Linked DNA regions of Rhinolophus ferrumequinum. The protein of the gene in region 3 purifies or fractionates together with the protein of the main gene of each other region. This does not show direct contact. Links are inferred from orthologs where the notes say so. Each region holds a gene or a part of one and is shown on either strand. Other genes may lie near its edges.

Region 1 (7,853 bases), on a different chromosome or scaffold from region 3:
TCTGATCAGGCCAGTGATCAGCAGGACTCAGTATAGACTCTCCTGATCATACTATTGAGTTTTTAAGTTTTTAAATTCATTAGAATAACAGAAACTTAAGTTTGACAGTATCAGGTACCGCTAGGTTTTGGAACAATGTGAACTCGAATGCATGGTTTGGAATGTTAATTCATACAGTCACTTGGGAAATGATTTGGTGGTAGCTCGCAAAATTGAAGATATGCCCAAAAACTCAGCAGTTTCACTTCTAGGTATATAATAGAGAAACTCCTCTTGCCCAGGTGTACCAGGCGACATAAACAAGAGTGATTACTGCAGTACAGTTTATAATAGATACTGGAAACAATGTGTAGTAGAGATTACTAGCTGTCCACCAAAATCTGCACTCAACTTGCAAAATTATAGGATTATAAGACAAATGGCTAGACCCCATTTCCCAGCCATTCACCGCAGGGAAGGGGAAGCCAACTCTCCAGTGGAACATGAGTGGAAGTGACATGTGTCACTTCCATGCTACAACTTTTAAGTGAGTGAGTGTACTTCCATGTTTGCTTTCCCTTTCCTTGGGTTAGATGCACGTGATGATGGGCTGTAGGGGATGGCAGAGCACAAAAAGGAAGAGAGTTAACTCCTTGAAGACTACTTCCGTGAAGAACTACTTGCCAACCAGGAACATCTATCAAACTATTAGATGAGCAAGAAATAAAAGTCTGTTATTTGAGACATTATGCATTCTCGGGTCTCTGTTAACCTACTCTAATGCATAACCTAATTGTCCATCATCGGGAGAAGGGATAAATTGTGACGTAGTCCTATAGTAGAACACTATACAGCTATGAAATTAACTAGAGCTTCTTGTATCATGAATATATCTCAAAAATAATGTCTGGGAAAAGCAAGTTACAGAATACATCAAGTGTACCATTTTTATAACATTTAAAAACACACGAAAATGCTCTACATTGTTTATGGATATATGTAAATATAAAAGTACAGTATATACAAATATTTATATTTAGTATATGTATTTTAATATATATAAACATAGTATGGAAACATGCACAGGAATGATAAACACCAAATTTAGTATAGTGCTGGCATCCAGAGGGACTACGAGTGAATTTGGAAGTTCTTATTTCTTAAGGTGTATAGTAAGTTTGTCATAGTTTTATATTTTTTTGTATGTCTGAAATATTTCATTTTCAAAATCAGTTAACAATCAAAAAAATATATTCTGCTTACCTCCTTCAAAGGGAAAAGTTTAGAACATTTTCTTCTGCTTCATCTTAACCTTTGATTTTTCCCTCACCCAATAGTCTGCTCCCCCCATGTCTTCACTTCTATTTCTACGATCCCAGTTGGAACCATCATCAACTCTTGCCTAGACTACAGTAGGAGCTTCTTAATTGTTTTTTTCTGCTTTTTACTGGCTTGGATTCACTCCACGTAAGAAGGTTGTAGTGAGTTTTTAAAACTGTAAATCAGACTTCATTCACGTGCTAAAAGCCTAATGGTTTCCCAGGGCACTTAGAATCTAAGTCACTCCCTTTCCTTGTTCTACAAGGCGCTTTGTGTTCCTACTGCTGACCTTTTAGCCTCATCTTCCTCTGCTCCACCCATGTTCTCTGATTATTATTCCCCAACAACATGTTAGCCACACTACCTTTCTGAACCTACCAAGCTCATTCCCATTTTAGGGCCTTTGTATTCACTCTTCCCTCTTCCTGGAATGATTTTTACCCCATTTGCATTGTATACTTCATTTTCTCATTCAAGTCTCAAACTGAAGTTTACGTCAGAGGTCTTTTCCACCTGAACACACTTTCTGTAACATCACCCTATTTAATTTCCTTCATAGCACAGCAGAAAGTAGACATCTTTATTAGCCAACCTTCACACTAAAACATCATGATGGCTATTTTACCATAGCAATGAGATCTAAAAGCCTTCCTAAGTTTATGCAGCACCTAAGAACACTTGCTCTAGTCCTTATTTAATCAGCGATATTTTAGGAATTACTGTGGGTTAATCCTTGATTTTGGTGCCTATGGGAGGGGTTCTTGTTTTTGGCGCATGCCTTGCAGTCGTTGCCTCCCCCGGATTAAGCCCTCCACATACCACTGTTCCTGCTGCAGCTGCCGCTTCTGAGTTTTGAACTGTCTTTGAGTAGTCTGCAACTTCTGGCATTGCCAGGTTTGCTGCAATAGTTCCTTCTGTAACTGCTGGTTCTCTCTGCGGACACTGCGGTACAACTCAAAAGTATAATTCTCTGCTGCCAACTCTAAGGCCTGGATCTTCCTGTTAAGCTTCTTTCCTTTTCTCTTTCCCAACTGCCTAACATCTGGCTCACTCAGTTGTTTCTCCAGTAATGCTTTTTCCTGGAGGTACTGGACCTGGATTTCCTGTTTCTTTCCAGTTGTCTCAGCTTGGACTTTTCTTTTCTCCTCCTCTAATGTCTGCATTGCTCTCTCCTGTTTCTCCTTTAATAGTGAAACGTCCCTCAATGCCTGCAACTGCTGGTTCAAATCAGATTGGATCTTGCCCTTCTGCAAGAGCTCTGTGTTAAGCTCTGATGTTTGTTTCGCATATTTGGAGGCTGATTCTTGTCTCCTTTGTTCAGTCTCCCCACTTCTTTGCAAATAGCTGTTCCACAGCTTCTCAAATTGCCTTCTATACCTCTCAGTTTTGTTGGTCAGGTATTCCAGAAAGAATTTATTTTCAGCCTGGACATGTAACTTTTCACTGAGTAGCTGCCAAGTTTCCTTCATTAGCGGTTCTTGCCAAATTTGAGCTTGTTTTATTTGCTTGTCCAGCGTCATCATTTCCACTGTCGTTTCTTTAAGCCCCATCAGTGCCATTGTTAGCTTCTCTGGCTCAAAAAAATTATTTATTAAACTAAGATACGGTGGAGGGGGACCACTGGAGTCCTCAACAAACCTGAAGGAAGAACAAGTGAGACATTCCCCCATCAGTTCTTCATTAAAATTTAGGAAATAAAAAATGCACAATTGTACTTTAATTCATACAAGAAAATATTTTGAGCACTTATTTAGTGACACTGCGAGGAGGCATGGGGTATGATATAGCTTGGGTAAAGATGAGGGAGTGTACTTTACAATTTACAATATGCATTCAGTACCGCCCTGTAATGTATCTCATTTTTATTATTAGTTTCAGGTGTACAAAACAATGTAATAGACATTTATACCCCTCACAAAGTGATAACCCCCACTCCCCCAATCTACTAGCCCTCTGACATCATATATAGCTGTTACAGTTCCATTGCCTCTATTCCTTATGCTGTACTCCACATCCTGTGACCATATATATATATATATATATATATATATATACACACACACACACACACACATATATATATATATAATTGATATTATTCAGCTTCAGATGTACACTGCAGTGGTCAGACACACCGTCCATGAAGCAGTCTCCCTAATAAGACAAGTGTCCGTGGGATACCCTATAAAATCTTTACAACATTATTGATTCTATTCCCCAACTGTCTTTTGTATCCTGGTGCCAATCTTGTGGTTATTGATTGTGCTTTCTAATCCCCTCACCTTCTCCCTCATCCCCACTTACCTCAATTTTAAAGGGAAAACAGGTTCAGGGAATTTATGACTTGGCCACGATTTACACCGCTAGCAAGTGGCAGAGCCAGCCAAGGTGTGAAACTTAGATCTATGACTTAGTTAACAACTACAAAGGGCCACCAGCACATACTCGGTGGTCGGGAGCAGGAACAAACGTCTCGGCTCTAGCACCACCTTTTCGGTTTCCCAGGACGCTTCCGTGGAGGGAAGCGCTCCTTTAGTACCTACTTGCGACTGGAATCCCAGCGTTTCTCCCCAAGGTCTAGCTGTAGTTCATTGAGGGTGACTGCCAAGGAGCTAGTGTCAGGGGACTGCGACACACGGATACAGCGTCCCGCTGAGGAAACTTTTCGCAATTTCTCGGTTCTGTGTTCAACGGGTCTGGGCGCTGCCCAGCAACCCCGTAGGTACCCAGTCCTGGCCGGTCCAGCCCTGGGCTGCTTAACTTCCGCCGAATAAACCTTAGCCTTCGTTTCTCGGTAGGCTGTGTTCCCCGCTCCTGGTGGGCGAAAAGTGAAACGCACTCTCTTTTTCGTAGTGTGGGGGTCCTGCCCTTGGGATCCTAGGTCCTCTTGTTTCCATGGGAACCAGAGCTTTGCCCTTCCCAGGCCCAATCCTAAGACCATGAGCTCCAATTTTTCTGGCCCACTCCAGTCCTCTTCCCACACTCTACACTTCCCCGCCATTGCCACTAGTTGACTCCCGAGCCAGGTCGGGACAGGAAGATGCTCTGGCGCTCGTTCGCTCTTCCCTTTCTGGCAGGTGCAGATCTACCCTCGTTCGCAGCCCAGAACATTGCGGAAGTCTCTCTAGCCACGCTGCGTCGCTATGGTAGAGGGGGCGGGGCCAGGGGAAAGATGGCGGCGTCCGCGGCTGCTGCTGCGCCGCAGGCTTCGGGGGGTCCTCGGCCCCCAGTGTGTTTGTTGGTGTTGGGAATGGCGGGATCTGGGAAAACCACTTTTGTACAGGTGACGTACACGGCGCGGGCGTAGTTGGTGTGCTTGAGGTTGTCTGTGGCGGGTGGGGGAATGGGAGGGAGGTCTCTGGGGTGTTGGAGGGGAGCAGCGCGTGGCTTTGGGGACTTGCCAGCATCTCCGGTTCCTTCCTGAGCGAAGCCTTCTCGACCTGAGCCTGGGTTAATTAACGCTCTCTTTTGTACACTATCGGTGCGTAGTACTTGGTACAACTTAAGTAGTTGTACTGGAATTGTTTTAGCGATAATATTGCCAACTCCTGGGAGGCAGAGGCTTACAAGTAAATAGTGATTAATACAGTGCTACCACCCAGACTTTCAGTGTAGATTTCTAAAGAATTACATATGTCTTGCATGCCTATTATATAATATTTTAGATGTGGATGAAAAGTAACTTCACAGGGTGATCTGATCATAAATTCCTAATGGGGCAGGTCGTGGTGAGTAGTGATGGCCCAGGCATATAACTGCTTTAGTAAAAGGTTTATCTTTGCCTTAAGCAAGCCCTGTCCATTGTTTTTGTGCATCTAGGTTGGTTAACAACACACCTTTGAAATGCCTCTTTTTCGAGAGAGCATGTAATCTTATTAACTATCCTGTAATCTGACACCCCGCCTTCTCCCACTTTTAGTTATTTAATCTTCTTTATGTTTACCTTCTTAATTCCAAATGCATAAAAGAAACTGTAAAACTGCCATTCTCAGGAGAATCTGAGATCTTGCTTCCTGGCAATTGTTGTCAAATAAACTCTTATAAATATTCTGTACGTGTTCAGTGAAAATGAGGTTGACAAGGTTCCTGCTTTCAGGAAACTACTGTTATACTGGGGGTGATAGAGAAAACCCCCACACAAAACAAGTAAATGATCAAGAGTAGGGGAGGCTCTGTTAAGTGGGTAATAAAGAAAGGTAGCATTTCAACAGAGTTCAACGTTGGAAGTGAATGTTTCAGATGGAAGGAAATGTCCTTTATCCCCTTATCATGCCCTCTTTGTCTCACTCAATCCCTCTCCCCATATTGCTGCAGAGGCTCACGGGACACCTGCATTGCCAAGGCTCTCCACCTTATGTGATCAACCTGGACCCGGCTGTGCATGAAGTTCCCTTTCCTGCCAATATTGGTAAGTAAACTGCCTCAGAATGGAAAGCCTCCAGCTTGCCAGTTTCAATGCTTTCATTTTTTCTAAACTACCGTGTTTCCCCAAAAATAAGACCTAGCTGGACCATCAGCTCTAATGCGTCTTTTGGAGCAAAAATTAATATAAGACCAGGTCTTATATAATATGATATAAGACGGGGTCTGATACGATACGATACGATACGATATACTGGGTCTTATATTAATTTTTGCTCTAAAAGATGCATTAGAGCTGATGGTCTGGCTAGGTCTTATTTTTGGGGAAACACGGTATCTACTCTCCTTTGCTTGGATTTGCTAGAATCCCTAAACAGGCTTCTCCCTTATTCACATTTTCTCTTTGTTTACTTCTTTCCCAAATGTATTTCCTTACCACTCAGCATTATTTCTCCCCTCTTTCTGACCCTAGGGTGTCAGGCTGTTGTTATTTGGGAAAATGAAGTGACAGGAAGTCAGTCCTCTCACTTCTAGGCCATAAACCCTTCAAAAGGCTTTGATACATACATATACCTTTTTAGTTTCTTTTCTTAAAGTTAGAGTATAAGGGTTTTTGTGTGGTAGTTCACTTACTGATTTGTAGGAACCTTGCTTCCACTCTCAAAGTTACATGGGAAAATGTGTGTATATATGCACATGTACATTGTTTTGGGGAAAGTTTCCCAATTATAAGACTTTAAGAGGAATCTGTGACTCTAAATAAGAATGGATGTGATTCAATGTCATGATTCTAGATAGGATCTAGGTTTCTTGATTTCTAGACTATCACTGTGTGCCAATCCTCTTCTTATTCTTCTTAAACCTATTAAGCTGCTTGTACCCCGCACAAACTAATAGAGGGCCTTGTATCAAGAAGCAGAGATTGTTTTGAGAAGAATTTGGGGAAAAATTGTTCATCTTACTCAAAGGATAGAATTCTAATTCTAATAGTTGATGGGATAGGTTTACAGACTGGTAGATGGGTTTAGTTAGATATTACTGGACAGATTCATTCTTTTTTTTAAAAATCATGTCTGCATTACCTTTGTTACCACTAAGGAATTAGTAAGAAATAAACGTTTTTTTCCTTGATTCAGCTCCCTTTTTCTATGCTTATGATCACTGACAAGGTATTTAAGTTGCATAAATCTTCTCCTGGTCTCTGACCGTCTCTACCATAACTTGAGAGCTCCTAGCCTAACATTCTTCCTGGGTTACCTGGCAGTTATCCTTTACGAGGGAGGAAACCAGTGTGAAGCTGGGGAAATTAGAAGACGATGCTGACAAGCGAATCCTAAGAGTCTAGTTTCAGTTTCTTGCTGGTAGAGAAGGTACAGGACACCTTTTGCCTTTCTATTCTTCTCTTCAAAATCTTGCTTCTTTTCAAAATCTTGCTTCTTTTGCTATCGTAATTCAATGATCTTAGCTTAAAAATTTAGGAAACAAATTTAAAAAGTAACTCAGATGCTGAGGGATAAACTTAATTTTTTTTCCTCAGAGGAAGCAGAGATGACTTGAGAGACCTATTGCTTAGAATATTATTGGTGGAAGGTCTCATGCTGTATTATTTCATATATGTTGAATTCCAGTTAATTCTTTCTTTCCCGTCCAGATATTCGTGACACTGTGAAGTATAAAGAAGTCATGAAACAGTATCCTTTTCTACATCTACTTTGGTATTGACTCATTTCTGGGTAGTTACCGTCTGTATATTTTGTGGCTTTGCAAGAGTGTTTTTTCATTTCCTTGTGAACTATACTAACAAAAGCATTTGAGTGCTTCAAAGTAATTTTATTAGGAGGATGGAAGATGGATGTGGGGAGAAGTATTGTAAGTGATTAGAAACACTATTTTAGCTTGTGTTTTCAGTTTTCTTACCATCTTCCTAGATTGCAGGCTGTTGTAGAGAGCTCAGAATGAGAGGCTAGCTGGTAGTGTGCCTAGATTCCAGAAAGTATTGTTGCCTTAAGGATCCATTGGTCACCACCTTTTCAGACTGGGAAACTCAGGAATGGGTAGGTTAGGGTAAGTATAGTCAATTCTAAATATGTTCCTGTGTGAAATACATACTTTCCCTATAGGTAAATTTAGGTCAGAAGACTAATTATAATCAGCAGGTTGCTTGATTAGCGAGGGTCAGAGCAAGGAGCCTT
Region 2 (7,892 bases), on a different chromosome or scaffold from region 3:
TGTATAACAAGCTAGCCTTTATCTACCATTAGTTTACCTTCCCAGAGCTTGCTGCCCTTGGAAGCTTAAAACTGCGTTCTGGGGCAGGCCCGGTGGCTCAGGCGGTTAGAGCTCCATGCTCCTAACTCCGAAGGCTGCCAGTTCGATTCCCACATGGGCCAGTGGGCTCTCAACCACAAGGTTGCCAGTTCGATTCCTTGAGTCCCGCAAGGGATGGTGGGCAGCGCCCCCTGCAACTAAGATTGAACGCGGTACCTTGAGCTGAGCTGCCGCTGAGCTCCCAGATGGCTCAGTTGGTTGGAGCGTGGGCTCTCAACCACCAGGTTGCCGGTTCCTCTCCCTCAAGGGATGGTGGGCTGCGCCCGCACAACTAGCAATGGCAACTGGACCTGGAGCTGAGCTGCGCCTTCCATAATTAAGACTGAAACAATAACTTGAAGCTGAACAGCACCCTCGACAACTAAGATGGAAAGGACAACTTGACTTGGAAAAAAGTCCTGGAAGTACACACTGTTCCCCAATAAAGTCCTGTTCCCCTTCCCCAATAATAATAATAAAAAAAAAAAGCACTAAAAAAAACCCAAAAACAAACAAACAAACAAAAAACCCTGCGTCCCTTTATCCAATCATTTCTCCAAATGTATTTTCCTTTGTTGAAGATGCTATATAAGCCAGAGTGGTAAGCCTCCTCTTTGAGTCACTTATTTCTCTTTGGGTATCTCACATGTGTATGAGGTCTGACAATTAAGTTTGTGAACTTGTTGCAAGGATGTTGCTAACCTTTTTTGATATCAGAGGGATTATTCATTATGAATTTGTACCAACTGGACAGTTAACCAAGTTTACTATTTGGAAGTGCTGAAAAGCCTGCGTGAAAAAGTTACATGACCTGAACTTTTCACCAATAATTCATGGCTCTTGCTTCACGACAATGCACCAGCTCACACAGCACTGTCTGTGAGGGAGTTTTTAGCCAGTAAACAAATAACTGTATTGGAACACCCTCCCTACTCACCTGATCTGGCCCCCAATGACTTCTTTCTTCACCCGAAGATAAAAGAAATATTCAAAGGAAGACATTTTGATGACATTCAGGACATCAAGGGTAATATGACAACAGCTCTGATGGCCATTCCAGAAAAAGTTCCAAAATTGCTTTGAAGGGTGGACTAGGTGCTGGCGTCGGTGTATAGCTTCCCAAGGGGAGGACTTCAAAAGTGAACGTAGTGATATTTAGCCATGAGATATGGAGCACTTTTTCTAGGATGAGTTTGCGAACTTAATTGTCTGACCTTGTACATGAGACTTCTGTGTCTTTGTCTTTGTCTTTTATTACAGCGGTCTCAGCCAAGACCTCAGAAGGATAGAGGGAAACTATTTTTCCTCCTGTACAATACTTTAATGAAGCTCTATTACTCAGCTTCAACAGTAACATTTTGCCAAAATGCTTCCATTTCGTCTATGCTAGCCACGTTTTTTGCTGGAGAAACTAAAAGCAAATTCCAACTATATCATTTCACCTGTAAATACTTCAGTGTGTATCTCACAGATATGGACCTTTTTTTAACAAACCAAAATACCAGTATCATACCTAACACAATTAATAATTCCTTAATGTCATCTAATACTTGGTCCTTATTCAAATGATCCCAATTACCTCAAATTGTCTTTGTACAGTTGTTTGCTTAAATCAGGAACAAGCAAGCAAGATGCACACATTACTTTTGGCTGATTAAGGTCTTCCTTAGTCTCTAAAGGATAACTGCTTTTCCTTTTTACCCCAAGCTAGTTATTTGTTGAAGAAATTGAGTCAGTTGCAGTGTCAGCTTTCCCACTTTCTGGATTTGGCTGCTCGCACACTTACGGTATTTGTTCTGATGATGATCTGTCTCCCATATTTCTTGTAAAGTGGCAGTGAAATCTAGAGGTTTGAATACAATAAAACCCCAATCTTTTGCCAAAAATACATCGTAGGTGGTGCTAGATACTCTCTATTCCATCCCTTCAGAGGACCTATCAACCTTCTGTATGATGGTGTCAGTATCCACAGACAATCAATGCCTAGGTTTATTATTTCATTAGGGTTTGCTAAATGATTTTTAAATTCGATCATTCCTTCTGTATTTATTAGCTCAAATTCTCCTGTTAAGATACGAACATTCCCTTATTAATTATATGGTTATGTTGAGATAGTATACAAGAAAAGTAAAATGCTTGATTCTTTCCTTTTATTTTAAGAAAATAGAAATCAACTTTTATTCTGTTAAGCCACTGAAAATTTGAGGTTGACCTGTTATTGCTAACATTATTTACTCTAATATCCTAACTTCCCAATCACCAAGGTGATTCAGTAAAGCACAGATTTTCCAGGAAAACACTGGATATCAACCCTAAGTAGAGATGCTCCACGACTCACGATGAACCCGATAAACCCATCATTAAAATTGAAAATATCATAAGTTGAAAAGGTATTTAATACTACACAATAGAGTATCGGTTGTTCACCCTCTTGAAGGCGTGGGTAACTGGGAGCTATGGCTCAATGCCACTGGCCAGAATCACGACAGAGTATCATAAAACATACTGCTAGCCTAGAAAAAGATCAAAATTCAAAACTCGAAGCATGGTTTCTACTGAATGTATATCACTTTCACACCACTCTAAAGTTGAAAAATCGTAAGTCAAGGACCATCTGTAGTTAAAAGAAAATTGTACCAGAGTAATAACAAAATATAAAACCTTCCAGTATTTTGCATACTAGAGTACACAGATAAATTAATTATATAAAATGTCCTTACACTTATTGAAATCTTTATATGTGTGTGTGTGTGCGTCTGTGTGTATACTTTTTTTTTCCTTGCTGTTTTTAGAGAATGTTTATCAGTTTATTTGAGCCCAAACTGTAACAACTGCTGGGAAGCCAGACTTTAAACGCGCCCTGCATTTATATTTTTGAGTCCCACTTTGGTTAGTGGTATATAATATCAGATAAAAACAGGAATCTTTTGCAGTAGCATGGCTACACTTGAGCTAATTAATAATACTGTCTGGGAAAGGGCAGAGGAAGTATGAAAGAGTAAACAAGGGATGGAGAATAAAAGTAAGGGAGTGAGTTCTGGTAAAGTTCAAGGCTCATTTTTGGGGGGAGGAATGGAAAAAAGACAAAAAACTCAGGGTGACCCTCCTTCCTCAGAACACAGATGCTGCCATACAGCAGAGGGCGTAGAGCTTCAGTTCATTTGTCTAAGTGGTCCCTTCACTCCTACTCAGGAAGTGCAGCAAGAGGCTTGAGACAGATTTCTTTAGGATGTTTTACAATTCCTTTCCGATAAGCCTAACAATTTTATTCATTTTGGCATCCTTATTCATTTTGGCAGCCTCGGGATGCACCACAGTGCCTAGCATATAGCACTCATTCAGGAAATGTTAACGAAGAAATGGGTGATTAAGAGTGTGCAGGTCCTATGGCCAGAAGAGAGGTTCCCAATCCCAGTCACCCACTCGTTGTGTGACCTAGGGCAAGTCTCCTAATCACGCAGAAATCATTTCTTCACCAATAAAAAGGAAATACTACTACTTGCCTTGTTTATCTACCCGGCTCCTTAAGTGGCTTTACACATGAGCAGCACTGTAAAAGACTGTACATAGGTGTGTAGAGTTTGGGGAGTGCTGTTGACGAGTATGAATGGTAAGATGAAAAAAACCCTGGACTCAAGAATCAGAAGGCCCAGGCTGTTATGCAGGCTAATCTGCTGTTTTCCCATCTTAATTAAACATGAAGAAATTTAGACTCGATGACGGTCCAGGCCCCATGCTCTTAATGGTAAGTCGGCTAGAGTTTGAAAAACTCAGGTGTGAGTTCTCAAAGACGGAAACTTCGGGGCCCCTGGATGCAATAGCGGGGGAAAGGACAGTCAAGGTCGCGGGGTCCTAAGGTGGGGGTCGCTCACCCAGTCAAAGTCACACGGGTTGCCATCTTCGCGTTGCGTGGGGAGAGTGTGGCAGAGCGGGGGCAGCTTCCTCACGAGAAGGAAGGCAGCAGAGAGCAGGGCAGACAGAAGGTAGTAAGGTCGGGCCAGCCATCGTGAAAGGCGCGGCACCGAATACACCAGAGCAATTAAAGGTGCCAGGACCGCCATCTTCTTGGCCCCGGGGCGCTCGCCGCTCTTCAGGGTCGATAAGTCTGGCCCCGCCTCTCCCACCATTGAGACTTCCATTGGGCCTAGTCTCGGATGCACCGCCTCCGGACCCGGAAGTGTATCTATGATTGGCCACTACAGTAGGGAGGACCTGAAAAACGGATTTCACACTTTATTGGTCAACCTAACTGTCGTTTTTTCCACCTAAGTCATTTTATTGGATATGTGACTGTGACGAGCGGAAACAACAGAGAAATTAATAGGGTGAGATAGCACATCCTGAACGTGCTCAGAAAGCGACGGAAGTAGTTGCCGGAAAAAGTAGGCGGGCCCCAAGACATCCAATGATAAGCGGCTCACGGAGGAAGAGGGCGGTACACCGTGAAAAGATTGTCCAATGAAAACCACTAGCGCCAGACACCCGGACAGCGCCGGAGTAGAGGGGAAGATGGAGAATTTCACGGCGCTGTTCGGAGCTCAGGCTGACCCACCCCCGCCTCCAGCCGCACTCGGCTTCGGACCAGGAAAACCTCCACCCCCGCCTCCCCCTCCTCCAGGCGGGGGACCTGGCACGGCTCCGCCCCCCACCACGGTCACGGCCCCTCCCGGCGCCGACAAGTCAGCAGCTGGTTGTGGTCCCTTCTACCTAATGAGGGAACTGCCAGGTGAGTACTAGGCCTGGCCGTAGCCAGCCAATCAGATCCTAAGGAGGGGGTGATGGGCGTGGGTCTTAGCCGGCCGGCGGAGGTGCAAGGTAACCTAGACAACGCGTGTTAGGCCCTTGGAGCTCTAAGTCCAAAGGCCTCTGAGAATTCACAACCAAACCGATGACGTGAGTCTTGGGGTGGATTCAAGGTGGGAAGAGAATGCATCTCCGTAACCATTTTTCACGCTATATCCGTTCGTTGTCCCTGACACTGGTTTATTATGGTTCCCTAAAAATTATCCAGAGTGAGTTTGGAACTCGAGAGTCCCGATTCAACATCACTGTGGTCCTGAGGTTTTCGTTTCAAATCTGTCACAAACTTGCTCTTGATTTGGAACATGTTACCCTCAGGGTCTCAGCGTTTCTTCATCTGTTTGAAGAAGTGACAGAATTAAATTAAATCAGATTCTTTCAGAAAGTGATTTTGTTGAGCATTTGCTGTGTACCACTGTTCTAAATGCTGAAGATACAACTGTGAACGAGACTGACAGGATCCTTGCTTTTTTTGGAGTTTACATTTCAGTGGGGGAACGCAGAGTAAACCAGATTAACAGCAGATAGTGGTTAGTGCTACAAGGAAAAAAAACACGTCAAAGAATTAAGGGGACACAACTACTTTAGCTAAAGTGATCAGAGAAGCCCTTGCTGAGTAGGTACCATTTGAGCTAAAATGGAAGCATAGAAAAAGAGCCAGCTATGTAGGAGTGAGAGGGATAATTCTAAATACAAGAAATGAAATCAGAAGCCCTGATGTGAGAAAAAGCTTGGAAAGGATAGAAAACCATTTGGACTCCAGTGACGTGAACAGGGAAAGAGTGACAGAAGATATAGGTGGGCCAGGCAGGCAGAGGCGTTTATAAAGCATTTAGATTTTAAGTTCAGGGGGAATCCATTTTAACACAGGATGGTGACATAATCTGACTTATTTTTAATCATTCAAGCAGCTACACAAGGGATGGAATGTGAGGGAATCAATCAGAAGTTAAACTGCTCAGTAATCCAGTTAAGAGATCATGGTTTGGACTAAATGATAGCAGTAGAGGACACAAATGAATGCATACAAGATAAGTTAGAGCTGACTGGAATGAAGGACTGAATATAAAAATAAGGAAGAGAGGAGTTAAGGATGACTTGTAAATTCTTGGCCTGAATAATTGAGCGGACGGTAGTATGGAGACCAGGAAGGAACAAGTTTGAAGAGGTGCAAGTCAAGAGTCATTCTGAACAAGTTAAGACTCCAACATGCCTTTCAGTTAATCCCAAGTCCTACTGCTACATCACCAGTCGAGGGAAATAATAATGAATTTAATACGTAGAATAGCCCTCTGAAGTAGACATTATCTTCACTTTATAGTTTAAAAAACAAGTATAAAGAGGTTGACTTCCCTTTGGTTGGTTGGTGGTTGATGTCTACCAGCAGTTTCTTTATCCTTACCAGTTCTGATTGTATCTCAATTAATTGACAGATGTTGAATAGATATTCTGGACAAACGCGGGGTGTGTAGAAAGGTGGGGGCATGTGGTGAGAAGAGAGATTAAAAGCTTATTTTACTTAGGGATGCAAATTATGTGGTTTGAGGACAGTGACCATATTTCTTGTCAAGGCCAATCTCATTACTTTGTGGTCATGCCTCACATAGGGCAACTATTAAGAACTACATGATGGTTTTCAAAATGTGTTCCTTGTTATCCAAAATGACAGCAAGAAGGGTGGCCAGTTAGCTCAGTTGTTTAGAGGGTGGTGCTGGTAGCACCAAGGTTGCCAGTTCGATCCCCACATGGGCCACTGGGAGCTGTGCCCTCCTTAAAAAAAAAAAAAGATGACAGCAAGAATAAGTTGTCACTTGACTGGACTTTGAAGAATTCATGTATTGGTGAGGAATATTAGGAAGAATTTTCCTATAATTAGGTCCTAACAGAAATTTTCCTGACAGAAATTTCTTAAAAGGAAACACTATGAGGGTGTTTTGTTTTTTTTTCAGGAGATAATGGAGACCCATTTTGGATGGATCAGAAAGTTTGCATAGGGGACTGATGGTTGAGTGGGCCCCAAAGCTAAGTTACAGTAAGATGTGTTTAACCATGAGTGCCAGTCAAAGGAATTGAGCTTTTTCCTGAGAGTAATAGGAAACCACTGATTTTTGAACTGAGGAGTATTGCTTCTAAAAATATCTCGAAAATGGGTGTGCCATGTATTGAAATAGAGAAACCATCAATGAAGTGAGGAAGATTCAGAGTTTTAAAAAAAAAATAGAATCTGCATGGAATTGACTAAGTGGAAGTTGGAAATACAAGATTAGTTTTCAGGAAAGGAGTCAGGGCCGGAGAGAGAGATTTATAAATCATCTTCATAGAACTGATAGAAAGTTGGATGGACTCAGAAATAGCAAAGTGCCGTTTCACCTGAGCCTTGAGCATAACCACCTGGAAGGAGGAGAGCTGACTGGGGCGGGGGAACTCAGGACACTGTAATGGCATAAGGTAGTGCCAAGTTATGAGGAAAGGCAGTGTGGCACTGAGCCTCTGATAGTAACAGATCACTTTTCTGAGATGTTTGATATGAAAATACAGAAAAAGAATAGGGTAATGCCTAGAGGTATGAAGGGAAAAAAATTCCTTGTTCATTTAATAGTTATTGAGCACCAAGTGTGGCTGGTTTGGGCATCAGCCATACATGAGTGAACAAGGCATTGTCTGCCCTCAGGGCTCACAGTTCAGAACCTGAGTTTTCCCAAGTGAAGGATTATAAACAAGCAACTTTTGTCATTTTACCCTTTGTGTTTATCATAACTCTAGATGAACTTGTAGGCTAGATATTCCCACCCTTGCCACTGGGATCCTTATTAAATTACTAATGAGTTTACATTATTTGGCAAAAGTCAGATATACAATATTTATGCTGAGATTGCCTCACATTTATATAATACTTTATATTTTTCAGTATGTTTTCATTTGAACCTTGCAAAAAAATTTAACGCACTTAAGATAGTTATTACCACATTCCATAGATAAGAAACTGAGGCATAGAGGACATCTAGGATTAGAAT
Region 3 (8,027 bases):
AGACAGAAAAAGTATTCCAGAAAAAAACAACCTGTGCAAAAGACTCCACAATAAAAGATATTCAAGGAGTGAAAGAAGGCCAATGTAGCTGAAGCACAGAGCGTGCAGCTGGGAGTAGTAAAAGAGCTTGGTCTTTACCAATAGAGCTTTGCGGAACCAGTCTAAGATTTTAGCAAGGCTGTAGCTAGATCAGATTTTCATTTCTGAAAAATCACTATGGCCACAGAGTGGAGAGTGGATTGAGAGGCAAGAAAACCTTAAGTACACACACCACTTAGGAGTCTGGAGAAATAAGCTGGGCAAGGAGACAAAGTAGTGACTAGATCTGACATGTTTAGGAGATAGAACCCCCAGGGCTTGATGACTCACTAGGTATAGGGGTGAAGAAGAAGAATCAAGAATCATGCCCTGGATTCTGATTTCAACAACAGAGGAGGGTGATACCATTCACTGAGATGGAGAACACAAAAGGAAGCAGCTTTGGAAGGGGGATGAGGAAAGGAAAATGACCAATTTGAATAATGACAAGTTTGAAGGGCCTGAGAGACATCCATGTGAAACTGTCTAGTGGCAGTTAGACATACAAAACATCTGGACTGGAAATATATTTTCAGAAGTCGTTCACATAAAATGGTAAATGAAGCCATGGAGAATGGATGAAATCATCCAGGAAGAATGTGAACAGAAAAGGATAAAAAGGAAAGTCACAACATAGGTAAGAGCCATTAAGTCAGAGTGATCTGGCAAAAGAAAGGAGTTCCAGAAGGAAGTCATCAACAATATTGAATACCACTGGGTCTGGATAAAGTTTAAAAATGCCCACCTGATTTACCAACTGAGAAGTCACTGATATTCTTATTAAAAGCTGTTTTAATGTAGTGGCATGAGCAGAATTAGATTGCAGTGCGTTGAGGAGAACCTGAAAGGTGGGGGTTGAATCAAGGACAGCCTATTCTTTTTAGAAGCTTGCTGTGAAATGTGGAAAGCTTTGCCTTCCAAAGGCAAAATATTGGGAAAAAAGGAAACAATAAAGAGTTTAACTTATTTTCTTATGGACAAAAGAGATCTAATAATTCACATAGAAAGAAGCCAACTGAAAAGGAGTGTCTGAAAACTGACAAATCTAATAAAAGATACAAAGGACACAGGCAGGAATGTAAACTCAAAGCTGAAGAAGACTTTTATCAAGAGGATGACTTGTAACTCTTTTTTCCACAGAATTATTTATTAACATGGCGAATGAGAGGATAAAGCACAACAATCACTATCATGGTCACTTGGCACCATCTGGTCACTTAGCAAAATGTTAAACATGTATATCATTTGACCTGACATTTCTACATCTAGAAATTATCCTACAGACATACTTGTACTAAACAAAAAAAAGTACAAGATTATTAATTCCAGCACTGTTTGAACCACGGGAAGAAAAAGGGGAAATAACCCAAATGTCCATCAATAAGACACTAAAGTTATGGCATATCCATTCAAACTACGTAGCATTGGGGGGGGGGGAAATGAGAATGCTCTCTATGGATATGAAAATCTCCCAGGTAGATAAATACACACACACACACACACACACACATATACACACATAGACATATATATATATATATATATATATATATATATATATATATATATATAAAACGTAAAAAATAAAAAACACAGAAAAGTGTAAATGTTCCTATGGGTGGGTGGTGGCAACAGAATCCCACTTATTTCCTTGAATGTACATAAAACACTATGGAGTGATAATCTAAGACAAGTGGGTACCTACTATGAAGGGGGTTCACACTGGGAGATGGTGGGCAAGAAAAGAGACCTGACACTAACATTTTTGTATTTTCTGGCTTATGAGACACAGAAATACATTACCTAATCAAAAAATTAAATTAAGAAAAATTTTTTGAATTTCTTTTCCACTCAGAGAGGCGTTAAGGGAATATAGTAATGCTAATACATTTCTAGACTCAAGATGTAATTGACACAGAGTAATTTAAACAGCAGAGTTTAAGCTTTTGTTTTTCTAGTTTCTCCTTGAAGTAGCTGAGGTAATAAGAAATGTGAAGGGTGGCTACGGGCTGGGAGCTAGAAGTAAATGAAGTTTGAAATAGTAGCTGTGGAGAATGGAAAGGGGAGCTTTAAAAATACATAATGAAAATACAGGAGACATGACTAATTCGGCACGTGAAAAGATATATTGGCCCTGTTCAGTAGAACACGTACCATCTAAGAACTATGTTATTTTGTGGGAAAAGGAAATTTAAATGTCCTCTTTTCAGACAATTGCCTTAGATGTATGACAGCATTGAAGGAATGCCAAACTAGACCAACCCCGTCCAACCACACACTGTATTTTTTGTCCCCGGTGTATTTCCAAAGACTAACACAAAGCCTGGCCCAGGTTGACGCTCATAAATTCAATAAATCCACTAATTCTGGCCTTAAGGAAAATGAAAAAAGGAACCCTTCACTGCACACAAAGTCAAAACAACGGAATTTATGTTAGGGTTCTGCACGCTATTCCAATACAGGAAGGAGGTATGATTTATCCAGCAGACAATGGAAGGAACAAGTGCCACTCAGACCGGGAATATTAATGCTACATTCCCTGCACCCTCCACCTCTCGTAATCCCGGCTTCGTCCCCGGCCTGGGGTATGCAGGGAACATGACTGTGGACACTTGTGCAACGGGCTAGGAGGAAGGCCAATCCTCAATTCGTCCAGCTCCCCACGTTTCCCTACTTAGATGGGTCGCCGGGGAGTGTTCTGAGCGGTCACCTACCCTCGTCCGCGTCATACATGTTTGCAAACGGTTCCCGAACTCTAAGCTCTTGAAATCACAGACAGAACGGTGCGCACCAACGACCAGCACCAGGAGCCTGAGACAAAGTAATTTCCGCCGACGGCGTTCCCAGAATACTCTGCGTCTTCCGCCAAAGGCCACCCACAAAGAAGCCAACGTAAGATCTGCGCCTGCGCATATGGTAGGCTAAAGTGGACAAGGGTTAGAATTGCGCACGCGCAAACTGCAGGCCTACGGGTCCGGTGGCTGATTGCGCACACCACTCCTACAGTCTGAAGATCGGTTCCAGCCAATGAAAAGTTTTTGGTCGTTTTTCAATATTGCACAAATAATGACACCTGAAAAAAAGAAATAAGAGACTTAATTAGTAAAAAGTGTTCATTGTGGCCGTCAGCGTATGGCATTCGACGTTGTACTTTTTGCACTTTTAAAGCCGAAAAACAGTGCTTTTTAAAACGTGGCTTATTAAAGGCGGGTTATGCCATTGGTGGCGCATTGAAGAAGGCTGAAAGTGACCAAACCCTCACAAGCTTCTTCTGCCCAACCGGCACACTCTAGGTCTCCGTCCGGTACCTTTGCCACATCTTTGAGCGGGCTCTTAAGCCTTGGGGCTTTCATCGCGAGAATTTACGAGATTAGATGCGGGAGGAGGAGCCGAAAAGTGCCTGACAGTTTTCAGGTAGTTCCGGGCTTAATCTCGGGTTTAATATGCCACATGGGCCCCAGTACGCGTGCGCACAAGTGGCTCCGCCCCTTGGTACAGGGCCGGGTTCCCCATGCTACCTGCACTCCTAACCCGTAGACTGCTGTGCCCCTTGCTGCGGGGTTCGGTTCCCACCGTAGCGTGCCATGGCCTCTGGGATCCGCTCCTCAAGAGAAGATGCGCGGCCGCCCCCTCCTCCCAGCACCTGTCGGGCCTGGGACGTGAGCTTCCTGGTGGCCCGACGGCGACTGGGGGTTACGAAGGCAGGGATGACATGGAGGAGCGTTTTCTGTTCCCCGAGTACGTCCCGGAGCCGGAGCCCGCACCGACCCTAGAAGAGCAGCTGCGCGAGCTGCAGCAGCGGCAGGAGGAGGAGGAGCGACAGAAGCAACAGCGGCAGGAGGAGCGGCGGCTGCAGAAGTTACGGACCAGCCGCCGGGTGCACCCGGTCGTGGGGCACCCGGACCCGACGGTGCCGCGGAGCGGCCTGAATTGCTCGGGCTGCGGGGCGGAGCTGCATTGCCAGGACCCTGCCGTGCCCGGCTACCTGCCCAGTGAGAAGTTTCTTAGCGCGGCAGCGCAGGCCGACGGCGGGCTGGCGCGGACCGTGTGCCAGCGCTGCTGGCTGCTGGTGCATCACCGGCGCGCCCTGCGCCTGCAGGTGAGCCGCGAGCAATACCTGGAGTTGGTGAGCGCCGCTCTGCGGCGGCCCGGACCCGCCCTGGTGCTGTACATGGTGGACCTGCTCGATCTGCCCGACGCCCTGCTGCCCGACTTGCCCGCGCTGGTAGGCCCCAAGCAGCTGATCGTGCTGGGAAACAAGGTGGACCTGCTTCCCCAGGACGCTCCCGGCTACCTACAGCGGCTCCGGGAGCGGCTGTGGGACGACTGTGCCCGCGCCGGGCTCCTGCGGCTCCCTGGCCACTTAGGGCCACAGCACCCCGGCGGGGACGGGCCACCGGACGGGCAGAAGAATTGGAACGCTTCCACCGGGTCCCGCACCGTGCTCAGGGACGTGCGGCTCATCAGCGCCAAGACTGGCTATGGAGTGGAAGAATTGATCTCTGCGCTTCAGCGCTCCTGGCGCTACCGCGGCGACGTCTACCTGGTTGGCGCCACCAACGCTGGCAAGTCCACTCTCTTCAACACGCTCCTGGAGTCGGATTACTGCATCGCCAAGGGCGCTGAGGCAATCGACAGAGCTACCATCTCCCCTTGGCCTGGTGAGCCTTAGGATGCCTGCCCCTTAAAGCCACCAGGGAGTGTCTGGATCCTTCCCTGTAAAAATTCTCTCCCTACTTTGGTCACACCTCTCTTCTGTGTCAGCTTAGTGCTTGAAAAGTTAGTATATGTCATAGTAACTTCCTGATAGAAATATTTGTGTTTCTATCATAGTAACTTCCTGATAGAAATATTTACTTCTATCTTTCGGTCACTGTTCTAGGCACTGGAGATAAACCAGAGAACAAAGCAAAGTTCCTGCTTTCTTGGAGGTTTCTCTTGTGGCTTTACTTTGTATGTTTCCCAGAAAAACCCTTTGACTTTCTAAACCTCCCTTTACCCCTCAATCTTACTCTTCATATCTTGAGTTCATGATATCAGTTTGCCACACATGTTTAACATTTAAATAGTTCACTAATGCAATATGATGTATGGCTTTAGAAGACGTCAATTTTGTGGCTTCAGGGAACTTCTGTGACTGGGAAATGGGTCCATCTATGACCCTGTTTGTATTTAATAGTTGGCAAAATTAATGGCATTATTTGTTCCTTTGAAACCAGTGTTTGATTTTGCTTGGTAAGCTGTTCTTTGCTGTCCTAAACTATGAATTATACACAGAAGTACTTTTATATAGTATGGTGAAGATGGAAAGAAATCAGGCCTGCGGGTTTGGGATTCACCTCCAGGTTGAGCCTGTGAGCCATTCTCTGAATCTATTTCCTCATCTGTAAAGTAAGAATAATTTTGTAGAGGGTTGTCATGAAGGTTAAGTGAAATAAATTACAGTGCCCAAGACAGTGTTGCTCCTTGAAAATATTAGCTTTCCTCCCTTTATTCCCTTGTGCAATGTTTATAAAAATGTATTCTTTGATATTTCAGGTACTACATTAAACCTTCTGAAGTTTCCTATTTGCAACCCAACTCCTTACAGAATGTTTGAAAGGCAAAAAAGGCTAAAAAAAAATGCAAATGAAGTTGAAGAAGATCTTAGTCAGCTAGAACAAAATCAACTTACTCTCCTGAAAAAGCATGGTTATGTAGTAGGTAAGCATCTTCTAGAGGAAAACTCTTGGTGGATCTATGCTCAAATTCTTTGTTGAGCAACCTGAAATACAGCTGTCTGAGGCTAGCCAGTTTTTGCTGGGAGAGACTACTTTTCTCGTTCTGGAATATAGAGGCCCTTTAGAGGCAAGGTGGATGTTTGGAAAGCCAGAGTTCACTGTGCTAAGAAAACTGAGACAGTAGATACTTGGAGAAATGCTGGAAAGGAATCATGAAGCAACTGCCCACCTAGCCATTGTCAGCAGAAGAATTTCCACAAAGATGTAGCCTCGCTCCTTGAAGACCAGTACAGGTTGTTGACTCCATGCAGCAGCTCTAAATTAGATGGTCCCCCTTTCATTGGTTATCTCTTTTCAACCTTCATTTACAAATGCAGTTTGACTTCCACCAGTTCTCACCACCCACCTCCCTCTGATATACACAGCCAGCCACACACTTGATGATCACAAGAGTCTGACTCCCACTGACTTAGAAAGAAAAAAGCAAAGCTATCATTGTAGTCTCACTTACATACCCCATATTAGTCTTCGTAACTTGAGTTGAACATGAGAATTACCTGTCTGGAGTCAAAGGCTTTAAAGGAGTGGCTAATAACTTCAATATAACTTATTCTAGGACGAGTTGGAAGAACATTCTTGTATTCAGAAGAACAGAAGGATGAAGCTGCCTTTGAGTTTGATGCTGATTCACTTGCCTTTGACATGGAAAATGAACCTGTGATGGTTGCAGATAAGTCCACCAAACGAGTAGAACTGACCCCACAAGATGTGAAAGATGCCCACTGGTTTTATGACACCCCTGGAATTACAAAAGAAAATTGTGTATGTATTTGATGTTTTTTAGAAACTTTAGATTAACCTTCAATTGTATGAGTACCGTCTTAATTGACAGAACACAGGAAAGGAGGTATACTTTCCTTATAGACTCAGTTCTGATTCATTCATAGCAACAGTTCAGGAATGAATCTGTATGCCATCAAGTTCTGTATTCCATTTGGTGGGCTTCACTGCTGACACCCTACTTACAGTATTGTGGTTGTTACCTTAGTTAGCAAGACATTTACAGAAGCGTAGATTTTGAGGTTGGAAGAAATCATAAATATCACTGCAGTCCGGCCACCTAGTCCATGCTTGAATCCCCTCTATAACATAGCCATCAAGAGGGCGTCCAGCTTGACCTGAAGTGAGGAGTGACTCACTATCAGCTGAAGCAGTGTCACCTTGCCTCCCAAGGTAACCTATTTGATCTCTGACCTGCTCTTTTTGTGGAGCTGAACAGTCTCCCTGTAACGTATGCCCATTGTTCCTCAAGGTGTATGAAATGCATGCCTGTTTCCCTTGCCAGACTTTGAGGTATTTTAAAGTATGATGTCCTGTCTTTTCCTCACTCTCCCATTTTCTTCTCTTTCATTGGCTCATCCAACTTCCTGAGTACTTCCTGTGCTGACAATCCTGATTCTTTGTCATTATTTCCTACCTATAGACATTATTTCCTCCTCTGAGACAGGCTGTTCATCCATCCAGGCACGTTTTCAGAATGGTTTCTAACTTGTTTTTGTCTGACACTAAGAACTGAATTTCTTGTATAAGTGCCCTCAGATGAGCATAACTGAGAATAGTATTATATATCTTTTTAATCCATGGCAGGATCTCCTGGACACTTTTGATTGTATGGTGTGAAGCTCAGCCTATATCCTACAAACTCAGTAAATGTCACTTTTTATTCATTTGCAGTTTTGATCATCAAATCATTGACGGACTCAAGTGTGCATCTAGGATACAACCTTACCACAGATCTGTAATCAGTTTCCTTTGAATCTGGTTACTGACTAGTTTCTAATTTGCCTAATTATCTCTGTATCTCACCTGTGAAACAACATTGGTTTCTTAGGTACTTTTCCTTCCTTGCCTCATCAGGATCACAGTTTCATTCTCAGAATTGTATTCCATTTGGTGACTCATATCAGAATCATATGGCTCTTTTAATTTTTTTTCCCTCCTAGCATAATTGCCTATGTCCAGTTTTTTCTTCTTTGCAATCCATAACTTCAGAGTAACTGGAGTGCTTTCTAATAATGTTCTGTCACTTTAACTTCAACTCATTTTTCGCTTTTGGACTCAGGTCAGGAATAGCACTTACTTCAGTCATGTATACCCTCTTGTCAAACAGTCAGAAAGGCAAGAATTTGCTAAATATTCTAGCTAGTAGAATGAAACCCTCAAGATTTT

The links.
Region 1: the proteins of POLR2B (region 3) and GPN1 purify together in Homo sapiens (affinity purification with mass spectrometry; 4 studies listed by BioGRID and IntAct, with this or other methods). This does not show direct contact. The link is inferred for Rhinolophus ferrumequinum from reciprocal best matches to the Homo sapiens genes POLR2B and GPN1.
Region 2: the proteins of POLR2B (region 3) and MED19 purify together in Homo sapiens (affinity purification with mass spectrometry; 4 studies listed by BioGRID and IntAct, with this or other methods). This does not show direct contact. The link is inferred for Rhinolophus ferrumequinum from reciprocal best matches to the Homo sapiens genes POLR2B and MED19.

Annotation. Positions count from the first base shown.
Region 1 is NC_046296.1:53,152,825-53,160,677, reverse strand, and holds the start of GPN1 (GPN-loop GTPase 1), read left to right. Parts: upstream 1-4,413; 5' UTR 4,414-4,471; coding exon 4,472-4,582; intron 4,583-5,613; coding exon 5,614-5,707; intron 5,708-7,312; coding exon 7,313-7,352; intron 7,353-7,853. Other genes in the region: CCDC121 (coiled-coil domain-containing protein 121), read right to left, coding at 2,046-2,937, 3,843-4,300. UniProt on the Homo sapiens protein: Small GTPase required for proper nuclear import of RNA polymerase II (RNAPII). May act at an RNAP assembly step prior to nuclear import.
Region 2 is NC_046294.1:11,474,659-11,482,550, forward strand, and holds the start of MED19 (mediator of RNA polymerase II transcription subunit 19), read left to right. Parts: upstream 1-4,452; 5' UTR 4,453-4,536; coding exon 4,537-4,804; intron 4,805-7,892. Other genes in the region: TMX2 (thioredoxin-related transmembrane protein 2), read right to left, coding at 3,951-4,217. UniProt on the Homo sapiens protein: Component of the Mediator complex, a coactivator involved in the regulated transcription of nearly all RNA polymerase II-dependent genes.
Region 3 is NC_046288.1:18,687,557-18,695,583, reverse strand, and holds the start of POLR2B (DNA-directed RNA polymerase II subunit RPB2), read right to left. Parts: upstream 3,365-8,027; 5' UTR 2,812-3,364; coding exon 2,793-2,811; intron 1-2,792. Other genes in the region: NOA1 (nitric oxide-associated protein 1), read left to right, coding at 3,590-4,739, 5,617-5,781, 6,415-6,620. UniProt on the Homo sapiens protein: Catalytic core component of RNA polymerase II (Pol II), a DNA-dependent RNA polymerase which synthesizes mRNA precursors and many functional non-coding RNAs using the four ribonucleoside triphosphates as substrates.